Coturnix japonica: one gene and its partner. The protein of the gene in region 1 interacts with the protein of each later gene in a pairwise test. Links are inferred from orthologs where the notes say so. Each region holds a gene or a part of one and is shown in the gene's direction. Other genes may lie near its edges.

Region 1 (6,152 bases):
GCATGGGCTGTGCTGAGAAAGGGGTGGGGGGCAGCGGAGGAAGGGTTGAATTGAGCTGCTCAGCCTCTGCCCCGGCACACGCAGGAGATGCGCTCGGGCAGCTCGCCGCGCCGCCGACTCCACAAGGGAGTGGCTTTATAACTTATCATAATTAATTACAGCACAATGTTGAGCGCGTTCGCATTTGTTATAAATCAGCAGCTCCTAAATGACGATCTGCGGAGGTTCAGAAGAGGCTGTTGTCGTTTGCATGGGGCGGCAGCCTCACTGGGACGGGGGTTGGTGCGGTGCCTCCTCGCCTGGCGGGGTGTTAGGAAGGGAATCCCTTCCCGGGTAGCAGAGCGGTGGGGGCTGGGGGGGGGCACAGCACAGCTTTGTGCTTCCCCATGTGTGCAGGTTGAAAACTTGAAGGCGAACCTCCGTGAGCAGGCGCAGGAGATCGGCAGGCTGCGCTCGGAGATGGTGAGCTCACCGGCTGCGGGGGGGGGGATAAAGTGGGACTGGGGGGGGCTCCCATCACACGCTGACGTTCCGCAGGGGGGAACGGATGCGGAGAAGCACCGGGACCTGCTGGTGGCTGAGAATGAGAGGCTGCGGCAGGAGATGAAGGCACGGGAAGGGGAGTTAAGGGAGCTGCGGCGGCAGCAGGCGGCGTGTCGGGACTGCACGCACCTCCAGGTGAGCTGCGGGTGAGCCGTGGGGCTGCGGGTGCCACGGCCAAGGCTGAGCCTGCTTTGGGGCCAGGAGAACGCCGGGCTGCAGGAGCGGCTGTGCCAGCTGCAGAGGGAGGCGGAGGAAGCCCGAGCCAAGCTGGCCGAGCTGGAGCTGGAGGTGCAGCAGAAGACGAACCGTCTGGCCGAGGTGGAGCTGAGGCTGAAGGATTCGCTGGCCGAGAGAGCGCAGGAGGAGGAGCGGCTCAGCCGGCGGCTGCGGGACAGCCAGGAGACCATCGCCAGCCTCAGGGCTCAGCCCCAGCAGATAAAGGTGAGCACCGCGGGGCTGTGCCTCCTGCTGGCTGTGCCGCGGTGCCGTGACCTCGGTCCGTAATACACCGTCGTCTGTGGGCGCTTTGTGCAGTACATCATCAAGACGGTGGAGGTGGAGTCAGCCAAGGCAAAGCAGGCGCTGTGTGAAAGCCAGTCCCGAAATCAGTACCTGCAGGAGCAGGTGGGGATGCAGAGGCAGGTGCTGAAGGAGATGGAGCAGCAGCTGCAGAGCTCCCAGAAGACGGCAGCTCAGCTCCGGGCACAGGTACGGGTCTGCAGGCACAGCAGTGCAGTGATGTGAACCAGGCGGCACCTGGGACTGATGTGCATTAATTGTCGGTGCTGCCTTACCCCACCGATCCCCCCAGATTGCCATGTATGAGTCGGAGCTGGAGCGGGCCCATGGGCAGATGCTGGAGGAGATGCAGGCGATGGAGGACGAGAAGAACCGTGCCATCGAAGAGGCGTTTTCCCGCGCCCAAGTGGAGATGAAGGCGGTGCATGAGAACCTGGCGGGTGAGGAGGGCAATGGGGTTTGTGGGGCTCGTGGGGGTCAGGGCCACCCATCCTCACCCCATGCTGCCCACAGGCGTGCGGACCAACCTGCTGACGCTGCAGCCGGCGCTGCGCACCCTGACCCACGACTACAACAGCCTGAAGCGGCAGGTGCGGGATTTCCCCCTGCTCCTCCAGGAGACCCTGCGGAGCGCCAGGGCTGAGGTGAGTATGGGGTCAGCCCGGAGCCCCTCACCCTGTGTGGTGTGTGGGTGGGAGGCTGAGCATCATCCTTCACTCAGATCGGCCAAGCCATTGAGGAGGTGAACAGCACCAACAGGGAACTGCTGCGCAAATACCGCCGCGAGCTGCAGCTCCGCAAGAAGTGCCACAACGAGCTGGTGCGGCTGAAAGGTGCGTTGGGGCCGGGCTGAGGGAATGGCCGGGTGCCACAGCGGGGCTGATTGATGCCTCTGCTCCCCCAAGGGAACATCCGTGTCTTTGGGAGAGTCCGCCCCATCACTAAGGAGGATGGAGAGGGCCCGGAGGCGGTCAGTGCGGTGACGTTCGATGCGGATGACGACGCCGTCCTGCACCTCCTGCACAAGGGGAAGCAGGTGTCCTTTGAGTTGGACAAGGTGTTTCCTCCTCAGGCGTCCCAGGAGGAGGTGGGTGCTGCTTCACGCCACTAACAGTGGGAGGAATGAGGGCTGTGGGACCGTCCCCTGATGCCCTCTGGCCCCCTGCAGGTGTTTCAAGAGGTTCAGGCTCTGGTCACCTCCTGCATCGATGGGTACAACGTCTGCATTTTTGCCTATGGACAGACAGGGGCAGGGAAGACCTACACAATGGAGGTGAGTTTGCCTGGCTTTGCCTCCCTCTTCTTCCTTGCAGTGCCCTGTGTCCCAGTGCTATCATTAACGCAGGCTGGCGCTGGACCAGTCCCGGCTGTTTCTGCAACCCCTGAGCTTTGCTTCTGCTCAGCTGCATCGGGAAAAAGCCCAACGGGTCATTTCTCTCCCCATGCACCAGGGAACCTCCACCAACCCGGGTATCAACCAGCGGGCCCTGCAGCTGCTCTTCTCCGAGGTGCGGAGCAAAGCGGCTGACTGGGACTATGCCATCAGCGTCAGCGTGGCCGAGATCTACAACGAGGCTCTCAGGTAGGGATGTGAGCCCTTGGCTGGGGCACAGCATCACGTGGAGCCCTCGGGGCTCAGCGTTGGCCGTGTAAGGAAGCACTGGTCTGGGTCCTGTCTCCCTTTGAGCCGTTTCTGCTTATTTGGGCTCCCCCCGCTTCCTCTGCCGGGCTCCAAACCCTTCCCCTTGGCCTGGCTCCTTGGCCGTTATATTTAGAAACTGTGCTCTGGGAGCCAAGGGAATGAGAAACATTTTCCTGCCCTGCCTGGACGCTGGGGGTTGGGGGAGTGACGGCAGCAGCCGCAGGGGCTCTCCAACACTGCAGGGACCAGCCCTGAGTGCACATCTTCATTGTGCTGCACCTCTGGAGGCAGCGGGCTCTGATCTGATGGGAGCTGGGTGCTGATGGGTTCCCCCTCGCAGGGACCTGCTGGGGAAGGAGCCCCAGGAGAAGCTGGAGATCAAGCTGTGCCCTGATGGCAGCGGGCAGCTCTATGTGCCTGGGCTGACTGAGTTCAGCGTGCAGAGCGTGGAGGACATCAACAAGGTGAGGCAGTGAGCTGGCAGTCATCCCACGGTGTGTTGGTGGCTCTGCAGTGTTGTCCCAGGATGGGGAGAAACAGAGCCCAGAATAGGCCCTGGGCGTGCTGCAGGGGCACTGGAAATAAAAGCACAGGGCACGGGTGGATGGGGGGACGAGCAGATCGCAGCCTCACCCCCTCCTCACCCTCAGGTCTTTGAGTTTGGCCACGTCAACCGTGTGACGGAGTGCACCAACCTGAACGAGCACAGCTCCCGCTCCCACGCGCTGCTCATCGTCACCGTCCGCGGCCTCGACCGCAGCACGGGGCTGCGCACCACGGGTGGGTGCTGTGCCCCTGGGTGGTTGCTGTGCCCCCTGGCAGGGCTGCATGGTAGTGCTGGCGGTGCTGACATCTGTCTGTGCCCCCAGGGAAGCTGAATCTGGTGGACCTGGCAGGCTCGGAGCGTGTCGGGCGCTCGGGTGCAGAGGGCAGCCGGCTGCGTGAGGCTCAGTACATCAACAGGTCACTGTCAGCGCTGGGGGACGTCATCTATGCGCTGCGCTCCCGCCAGGGCCACGTGCCCTTCCGCAACTCCAAGCTGACCTACCTGCTGCAGGACTCGCTCAGCGGGGACAGCAAGACCCTCATGATGGTGCAGGTCTGGGTTCCCCGTCCCCCACCCCCTGTGCAATGTGCCACCTGCCGTGGCTTCTCTCTGCTGGTGACGGGGTCGTGCCTGGTGCAGACGGCGGCTGGGGGCTATCCTGGGGGTGGTGGGTTAATAATAGCAGCCCCCTGACCCCATTGAGCAGCAGGGAGGGGTGGGTGTGGGGGTGTCAGTTGGGTGATGTGCTGCTGCTCCCACCCGCAGGTCTCCCCTGCCGAGAAGAACAGCAGTGAGACGCTGTGCTCACTGAAGTTTGCCGAGCGCGTCCGCTCCGTGGAGCTGGGCCCTGTGTCCCGCAAGGCCGAGCTGGTGTCCTGGCCCAGCCAGGAGCACCTGGAGGTACCCACAGCTCCACCATTGCCTTCCATTGTGTGCCATCACTGGAGGTACCAGCTGACCCAGGGCTGTGCCCCATCTCTCCCCAGGGTGATGTGCCGGGATCCTCCAGCCGGAGCCACGCATCCCCCAGCCCTGGGCTGCCCAGCGGCCGCAGCACCTCCATCCGCAGGAAGCTGCAGACCTCAGGTGGGTGAGGACAGGGGGGTCCTGCTCCATGATCCCGGAGTGCCCAACTCATGGCCTTCCACGGGAGGAGGCTCCCAGCCCACTGATGACAGGCTAAGCTGCGTGGTGTGAGCTGTGCTGTAATCGGCTCATTAACCGCTGGCTAATTGGCTGGCAGGAGCCTGGTTAGGGCTTCCCCTGAAGTGCCCTGTCCCAGCACAGGGCAGTGAGGGGCCACATGGGGCAAAGCAGCCAGGGCTGCACATGGGGCAGCCAGGGAGCGATGCTGCAGGGCAGTGCCCGCAGCTGAACCTCTCTTCTCTTCGATTTCAGCCTGAATTGGGCAGCAGTGGCTGCCAGGTGAGTGTGGTTGGCTGGGAGCTGGTGATGGGCTCTGCTTCAGGCTCTGCTTCAGCCTCGCTTCCCAGGCTGGGAGGGCTGCAGGGCTGTGCTGCTTACAGGGGTGCTGCTGGGACCGCATCGCTTGGGGCCTTGAGCTGTGGTGGCTGTGCCCCCTGCCCAGCCTGATGCATGTTGTGTCCCCACAGGGAAGCTGAGGCCGGTCCCCGTGTGACACGTGCTGCAGGACCCAGCCCCTCACCCACCTCGGTGCCCCGGCCACCTTCAGAGCTGTGCCTGGGGGTGGTGGCACCTCTCGCCGTGAGACACGCAGCTCTGTGACTTGTAATTCTTGCTGGACAGATGGCTTTAGCCAGAGCAAGGAGCCTCGACACCTCTTCAGCTTTGTTTTTGGGACGGTTGGGGTATCTGGCTGGAAGGATCGGGGCTGAGCACCCCCACCTCGCCGTGCTGGGGGCAACACGGCTGCAGGAGCAGCGGGCACATGGATGAGGTTTGGTTTGGTGTAATTGTGCCCAGCTCCCTGCCACAAGGTCCTGCTCTACCCCATGCCCCCCAACCCGGCCACATTCAGAGCAGCACAGCCCAGATTTGAAGCCAGAATAACCCCAGCAGCTCCTTTCCCTGTTGGATTCTCAGCCCTATTGCACGAAGGCGCCCCGGTGCTGCTGCATGCACCCTGCCCAAAGGGAGAGCAGCCACAGGGCTGTCCCCCTGGCACCAGCAGGGGCTTTGCAGTCTTGAAGGAAGCTATTGTAAAGTGACTGAACGGTTGTCTTCTCAAGAGAGATCACAGTGTGGTCAAGATGAATGTGTTTGCAATATTTATAACCTGTTTACATGGTCTTGGAATGGAGGAAAAAAGAAGAGTAACCCTGCAGCCCAGTGCTGTTGGTGTAGGTGTGGAAGTGGGGGCAGAGGAGCCCCATTGCAGCCCCTGGGGCAGCTGCAACCACGGGAGGTATGTGCTGCACCTTCCAGCTCCCAGCTGTCCTCCACACCGTATCCTATTAAAGAAAGGGAAATAAAAAGGGAAAAATAAGTCTAGTCTTTTGTTAAGATTAGATGTTTCTATGTATTTTAATAATATATATATTATTATCCTGTTTTATAACAAAACTTATTTTAAATAAAGCATTGAAGCCGTTCCCCCTGCGCTGCTGTTACTTCCCCCTGGGCTCCATGCCCCGCTGGCTGTTACAGGCTGGAGCCCACTGCCCTGAGCGCTGCCAGCACTCAGGTGTGGAGCAGGGATGTGTCAGGGAGGAGGACAGGCCACAAGCTGCTCTCAGGGCTGGGACCTGCCCAGCACAGCGAAACCTCCCACGGGCTTCCTGCAAGGAGCTCGGGCAGCACGGCCGCTCTTACTCACGGCAGCCACTTACTCACAGCAGGAAGGGTGAGAACGTGGCTGGTGCCCTGAGAGACATGATGAGGGGAGGAGATTCAGGCACATAACACCGCTTAAAAACAAAA
Region 2 (6,822 bases), on another chromosome or scaffold:
GAATGTGAATAAGGGAAGCATCCCTCTTTACTTCTGGCCACATCTGCCCTTGTGTCTACTGAGCCAGCAATGGCTACAGTGAAGCCAATTACTTCGGCAAGCTCATCTAACAGAAGGCAATTGCACCAGGAAAAAATGAAGCTTTTCTGTTGAATTTGTTTGCTCACCTGATTCATTGTGTGCTTTCAGTTACATAAAGAGGAATGAGATAGAATGCGTGGCCAAAGAGAGATGGGGGGAGACTCACTGTGCATGGAGAGCTATCTTCATGGCCACCAACTAAAAATCTTCTCAAGCTACTGAGAAAAAACAGGGAATGATGCTTAGCTATTCAGGAAATGCATAAGCTTTAAAGGAGCAGATCTGGCTCAACACCAACACAACTATGAAACAAGTTTACTCAGGGGAAAGAAATCCAAAAGCACTGAGGAACCAAGGAAACAGAGGAACCTACACTGGGGAAACAGATGCTCCGTTGTTTTGTGCGGCTCAGAAGTCTATTCAGCAAATCATCCACTTAGTCTTAAACAAGTGGGCCATGGGGCAAGTTTAGGGTGCAAGCCCATTTAACCCAGCCTTCCCCTTTGCCCAGAAGGAGATGACCTCTCTACCACAGTCTGAATGACGCTCTATGTCTTCACACAGGCAGGCATTTCCCAATGCCTCTGGCCTCAGCCCATCCTCCCACGTAGAGGCAGGAGCTCAAATTCAGCCTTTGCCTGGGAACCTGCCCTTGATATCCTCTACTCCATCCCCAGAGCAAGGAGAGGGGAAGGATCAGACACCAGAACAAAAGCACGATGAACACGCTGCCTAGAGGAGGGTCGTCAGCCTGGGAAGCGAGAGGAGGGAGGCAGCTGCTCCAATGAAAGCCTGGTGGCACTGGCCTGGCTCGTAGACATACTGTTGTCGAAAGGGATGGAGGCAACAGGCTCCTGGATGCAAGAAGGGAAAGACAGCTTGCAGGAACCTCCTACACCCTTGGCCTGTCAAGTTTGGGCGTCCAATTAATGCTATAAGTTTTAGCTCTAGCATCGCGGCCCTGAAATGTATTAGAAATACATCAGGCCTAAATAATTCAGATGTCAAAATGAATGCGAGGAAGAAAATGATTTAGCAGAAGGATTGCTTTACTTTCTGAAGCTGCTATTTTCTTTCTGCTCATGCAGCCATACAGACACTCTAACAAATCAGTGAAGTGGATGCACAACCAGACAGCATCACTGATTACATCTTTCCTTGAACAAAAACAGTGAAAAAAAAAAAAAGCAAGAAAAAGTTATTTAAAGAGTAGAACTATTTGATGAGATTTTATCTGCTGTGTAGCTTCAAGAGAATTCCCAAACTATCTACCATCAGGACTCTGAGGGCTGTTGTATATTGTAAATGAATATTAAATAACTCTCGTTGGCGGTTATCTCCATTTCAGGGTTGCCAAATCTCACTGCTTCATCATGGATCTCATAACGCTGAATTGTTTATTTAAACCACAATTCAAAGGATCGTTGATTAATGAGTTTCTTGCCTTTCATTTTTTTAATAAGTGTAAATTTCTCAGGGACGTACTTATTACAGAAGGTAAAAAGATAATCAGCGTTAGTATTAGAACATCCAGAGACGTTATCATTCATCTGAAGCTTTCTCTAATGAAGAGAGAAGTGAATCACTGCTTTGCTGGCGGGTTCGGCAGCTGCCTGCTGGCAAGAGAAGAATGTGGAGGCTGAGGACACCATGGCTTCTGCCTAAGTCCTCACCCCAGACATAAACCCTGGCTCTGGATTTGTTTTCACTCCTCATCTGCCTCCACCTTCCGTCCTGATCTCTTCATATTACCAGAAGATTTCATGAATGTAAAAAATTCCACTGGCTTCAGTCTGGCTTCTTTTGTGTCCCCACCCAGAGCCAGAGGCCTGTTTACAGAACCACCCGAATTACAGCAACACTTAAAAAAACCCCAAAACATAACCCATACAACTCAGTATATTTTAATTCTAGCTCAACTGCTGACATGACAGAGGGCAGCACTTGCATGTTTGCTGCCCTGTCATTGCAAGCAGACCTCTGTAATGAAGCAGAGCTGCGGTTGGCTACTATGGGCAAGCCTTGGCAAATTGGGATGGTCATTTTTCCTTGATAGCTGTGAAGTCCTGCTGTTTGTGGGATAGGAAACCTAGGCAAGAGGTGATCCTGGCTCCTTCAGCATCACTCTTAACATTCTTCAGCCACTTTCCTCCTCCATCTGATAAAGCCACCTAAAGGATTTTCAGACATCAGCACCCACAGACACTGAGTACGAAATGATAAGATGGAATTCAGTCATACCCCCTTTCTTTATCATTTGCTTTCTAGATCTTTAGAGTAGGTATGAATCCCATTTAGAGGCTCTTAGAGTCACCGTCTCTGGAGGAGTTCAAGAGCCGGGCAGCTGTGGCACTGAGGTACACGGTTAGTGTGCATGGCGGGATGAGCTGGTGGTTACGAACTTAGGCTCAGAAACGATTCTAAGCACAGTTCCACCTACAAAGAACTAGCTCCATGACACGGCGCTCACAAGCCCACACCTAAAGCCGAAGCGAACGTCATCTCCGCCCCCCGACATGGCGGCTCCCCACGCCCCAGCCTCCCGCGCCGTCCCGCCCTTCCCCGCCCCTCAGGGCGGCCGTTGCCGCTTCCCGCCTCCTGCCGGTCGTGCCGCAGTCCCTCGGCCGCTGGAGGCGCTGTGTCCCGCTGTGTCCCGCCCGAGCGGGGCTGGATTACGGCGGGGGCGGGTCCGCGAGCGTGATGGCGGCTGCGGCAACGGCGGCCGGGGGAGGTGGTGAGCGGAGCAGCACCAGGGAGAGGCTGCTGGCGGCGCTGGAGGATCTGGAACTCCTGGCCAGGTACCCGATGGGATGGCCGAGACTCGGTGTCGAGGCTCCGGCGGGGAAAGCGAGCGAGGAGCCGGGGTTGGGTTGAAGGATGAGCGGCGGCCTGGGGCCGAACGCACGCGTGGGGCCCGGGGGGCAACAGGAGAGCTGTGTCCGTGCTCTGGTTCGTGTGCTCGGAGCTTTGTTCCTCGCTGGCACCTGTGCAGTCTGCCTCCCAAGCAGTCTGTCTCTCCAGCAGCTCTTATTACTCGCTACCAACCTGCCGTGTGGCTCAGTGACTGCCACAGGGATAGTGGGCATGGTGGGAAGAGCTGATGGATGGACTGGATGTAATTACAGGTCTTCTTCAGCCTTAATGATTCTGCGATAGCAAACCCAAAGCCTGTCAGCAACATGTGAGTGATCAGCAGTACCATGGAGCTGGGCCTTTCACAGTCGCAATCAACTTTATTCTAGTCGTAGAGAATGTCATTAAGGTTGGAAAAGACCTCTTGAATCATCTAATCCAACCATCACCCTGTCCCTACCATGCCCACTAAGCACATCCCTCAGTGCCACAGCTATATGTTTCTTGAGCACCTTCAAGGATGGTAACTTCATTGCTCCATTTGAGGTTCTTTGTGGCTCTACATGATGGTGGGAAAACTAAATGGAGGCAAGATCAAGAGGTCTGTTTGAGAAGCTCTTTTAAGCTAATTCTTGTGAGTTTGGTGCACAGCTGATACACCATTGTGAAATACTTATGTTTATGGAAGTAAAAGTGAAATCCCTGTCAACACTGTGATGTAAAACTGTAAAATACTTAAGAACAAGAATGATTTAATAATGATGTAAATACTCAGTTGGGGATGATTTGGTGTGATTTACAAATAATAGCTTAGAAAACTGCATAAATACTGTTTTCCTTTTAGGGAACTAATTGAAATTTTGGCAATTTCAAGAAACCAGAAGCTTCCACAACCAGGAGAAGAGAGCCAGGTAAATTGACTTTCTTAGTTGCTATCCTTTTTGCAGGTAAATGCTATGTCTTCTTATTTTCTCCCTTTGTACATGAACTAACAGAATCACAGATCACAGAATGAGCCGGGTTGGAAGGGACCTCAAGGATCATGTAGTTCCAACCCTCCTGCCTGGCAGGGCCACCAAACATACACCTTTACTAGATCAGGTTGCCCAGGGCCCCGTCCAACCTAGCCTTGAACACCTCCAAGGACGGGGCATCCACAACCTCCCTGGGCAGCCTGTTCCAAGGCCTAACCACTCTCCTAGTGAAGAACTTCCCCCTAACATCCAACCTAAATTTTCCTTCTTTTAACTTAAAACCATTTCCCCATGTCCTGCTATTGTCAGCCATTTCGAAGAGTTTACTCCCCTCCTGGGTGTCCTGAGACTTAGTCCTGAGACTGAGGACTCCTAACGATGATGATGAAGCTTTGGCATCACTGAAAAAGCATTCTTGGTTTCATGTTTTTGATTGCTTGTTCATTTGTTTCATGCTTCGTAGGCTGTTTCTGCAAGCTGAGCAAGAAATAATAATCTTGTGGATATCAGTTGCTTTTTGCAGTGTGGTGGAGGGTGCGTTGTTACTTGAGCTAATTAAAAGTTCTACAAAACTCTTGTCTAATAGATCCTGGAGCTGCTGATTCAGAGAGATGGAGAGTTTCAAGAGCTAATGAAGTTGGCAGTTGATCAGGGGAAAATCCATCATGAAATGCAGCTTTTAGAAAAGGTAGTAGAAAAGAGAGATAATGACATTCAGCAGCTGCAGAAGCAACTGAAAGAAGCAGAGCACATACTGGTAAGTTCATAATGATGTGTTTGCTTCTGAGCATCTGCTAGTAGGGAGGGGAAAAGCTTTGGAGAAAGTTTTGTGTTAGTTTGAGAAGTTTGAAATGTTTAAAACTTTGTGAGAGCTTTAGAGTTGGTTGTTTTATTGTCTTCCCCCCCTCCCAGTAAAACTACTTCCTTATCATGGCATTCAGTTACTTTATATTGATAATTTTCTACAAATCTACTTTGTTTCTGTATATTTTGAAGCGTTTCCGGAGAAGTTTCTCTCCTAAAATGCAGTTACATCAAGGGTTTAGTCACACAGATCTTAATACAGAAGGATACAAATGAAAGATACAGTGAAGTTTTGGTTTAGAGTCATAGAATCACCAAGGTTGGAAAAGACCTAAAAGATCATCCAGTCCAACCGTTCACCTATTACCAATAGCTCCCACTAAACCATGTCCCTCAACACAACATCCAGTCATTCCTTGAACACCCCCATGGTCGGTGACTCCACCACTTTCCTGGGCAGCCCATTCCAGTGCATGACCACCCTTTCTGAGAAGTATTATTTCCTAATGTCCAGCTTGAATCTCCCCTGCTGTAGATAGTGTTGTTTCTTTCTTGTTTTTTTTCACATTTAGGCCACAGCGGTTTATCAAGCAAAGGAAAAACTGAAATCAATTGAAAAGGCAAGGAAAGGTGAGTATCCGCGATCGTACATAACATACAAACAGTTGTAAAGAGTGTTGCAAGTGAGCTCAAGTTAGTAATCTAAGTTAGTAATTTTCTCTTAAGGCTATTACAGATTTCATATTGCCTAAATCAAATCATTTCAGTGTGACTACCTGGAAAAGTGAAAGGGTTTTTTTTGTGTACATGTATATGATACCATTGTTTATAAAAGACTGATTAGCTGGTGATATTTGTTTGTATTTGTATCAATTGCTGCTATGAGTGGCAGTTTCCCAGTCAAACTGATTTTTTTTTCTTCTTTTTTTTTGGTAGGCAGCATTTTTAAGTTTTGTTTATAGTCATTTTTGCCATACTTCCTTCTAAACAAATCAAGGAATTTCAGAATGATTCTAGTAACTCTAATACAAGTGTATTTATTAGAGGAACTTGAATACAAGTGTATTTATTAGGGGAAGGTCTACTGCGTACATGTATAACTACAGCTACGAAGAAGAAAGAGATTTTAATTACTGCAGAACTTCTGTAGTAAAAGTGCTGAAATTTTCTTTAACAATGTGCTTGTCAAGTGCACTGTGGAAGATACTGGTTTGTGTTTCTTCAAAAGGCTGAAGACCTGTTAACACTCCAAGGTATACGGAACATGTGGCTGGAAAGTGAATTCACTATGACGCTTGTTCTGAATCTCTGATCAGTCATTGCATTTGAAGCATATTTTGATGTTTGACAGAATGACTTTCCTAATTTTTTCTGTATGAAAAACCATCCAATATTCAGAAATAATCAAACGATGCAGTCTCTTAAATACAGGAACTTTTCTTCCTTCTTCCAGGTGCCATTTCATCTGAAGAAATAATTAAATACGCCCACAGGATCAGTGCTAGTAATGCTGTTTGTGCCCCTCTGACGTGGGTACCAGGTAAATATCGTGCTTATGACTATTCTTGTTCTTGAATAATAGAGCACAATCAGTATCTGGTTTTAGAATGTTTTTACACAATGAAGGACAGTTTGATTTATTAAAGATATGTATATTTTTATAGCTGTTACATCTAGGGTTTCTGAAGAAATTTAATGATCCATACTGCACATGATGTTATGATGTGGAATTTTGACAGCAACGTTACAAAACCATGACAACTTGTCATAGAATGACTTGGGTTGCAAGGGACCTTAAAGACCATCCAGTTTCAAACCCTCCACTAGACAAGGTTGCCCAGAGCTCCCATCCAACGCAACTGTCAGTATTTCCAAGGATGGGGCTTCCCCAGCCTCCATGGGCAACCTGTTCCAGTGCTTCACCACCTTCATATTGAAGAATGGCTTGCTTATATCTAATGTAAATCTACTTTTAGATCTAATTTGGTTTATATCTAATCCCAGTCTATCACTACATGCCCTTGTAAAAAGGTGCTCTGTCCATCTTTTTTTATCAGCCTTCTTTAAGTATTGAATGATTGCAGTGAGGTCTCCCCAAAGCCTCAACCTC

The links.
Region 2: the proteins of KIFC3 (region 1) and MED4 interact in binary tests that used the Homo sapiens proteins (3 or more experiments, as listed by UniProt). The two-hybrid records come from large-scale screens. The link is inferred for Coturnix japonica from reciprocal best matches to the Homo sapiens genes KIFC3 and MED4.

The regions. Positions count from the first base shown.
Region 1 is NC_029526.1:1,972,687-1,978,838, reverse strand, and holds the end of KIFC3 (kinesin-like protein KIFC3), read left to right. Parts: intron 1-396; coding exon 397-462; intron 463-537; coding exon 538-678; intron 679-744; coding exon 745-984; intron 985-1,077; coding exon 1,078-1,251; intron 1,252-1,354; coding exon 1,355-1,502; intron 1,503-1,575; coding exon 1,576-1,706; intron 1,707-1,783; coding exon 1,784-1,895; intron 1,896-1,967; coding exon 1,968-2,149; intron 2,150-2,230; coding exon 2,231-2,335; intron 2,336-2,513; coding exon 2,514-2,644; intron 2,645-3,044; coding exon 3,045-3,168; intron 3,169-3,354; coding exon 3,355-3,484; intron 3,485-3,573; coding exon 3,574-3,803; intron 3,804-4,016; coding exon 4,017-4,151; intron 4,152-4,237; coding exon 4,238-4,337; intron 4,338-4,649; coding exon of another isoform or gene 4,650-4,654; exon of another isoform or gene 4,655-4,676; intron 4,677-4,864; coding exon 4,865-4,890; 3' UTR 4,891-5,824; downstream 5,825-6,152. UniProt on the Homo sapiens protein: Minus-end microtubule-dependent motor protein. Involved in apically targeted transport. Required for zonula adherens maintenance.
Region 2 is NC_029516.1:150,968,742-150,975,563, reverse strand, and holds the start of MED4 (mediator of RNA polymerase II transcription subunit 4), read left to right. Parts: upstream 1-2,708; 5' UTR 2,709-2,781; coding exon 2,782-2,879; intron 2,880-3,778; coding exon 3,779-3,845; intron 3,846-4,494; coding exon 4,495-4,665; intron 4,666-5,284; coding exon 5,285-5,342; intron 5,343-6,165; coding exon 6,166-6,252; intron 6,253-6,822. UniProt on the Homo sapiens protein: Component of the Mediator complex, a coactivator involved in the regulated transcription of nearly all RNA polymerase II-dependent genes.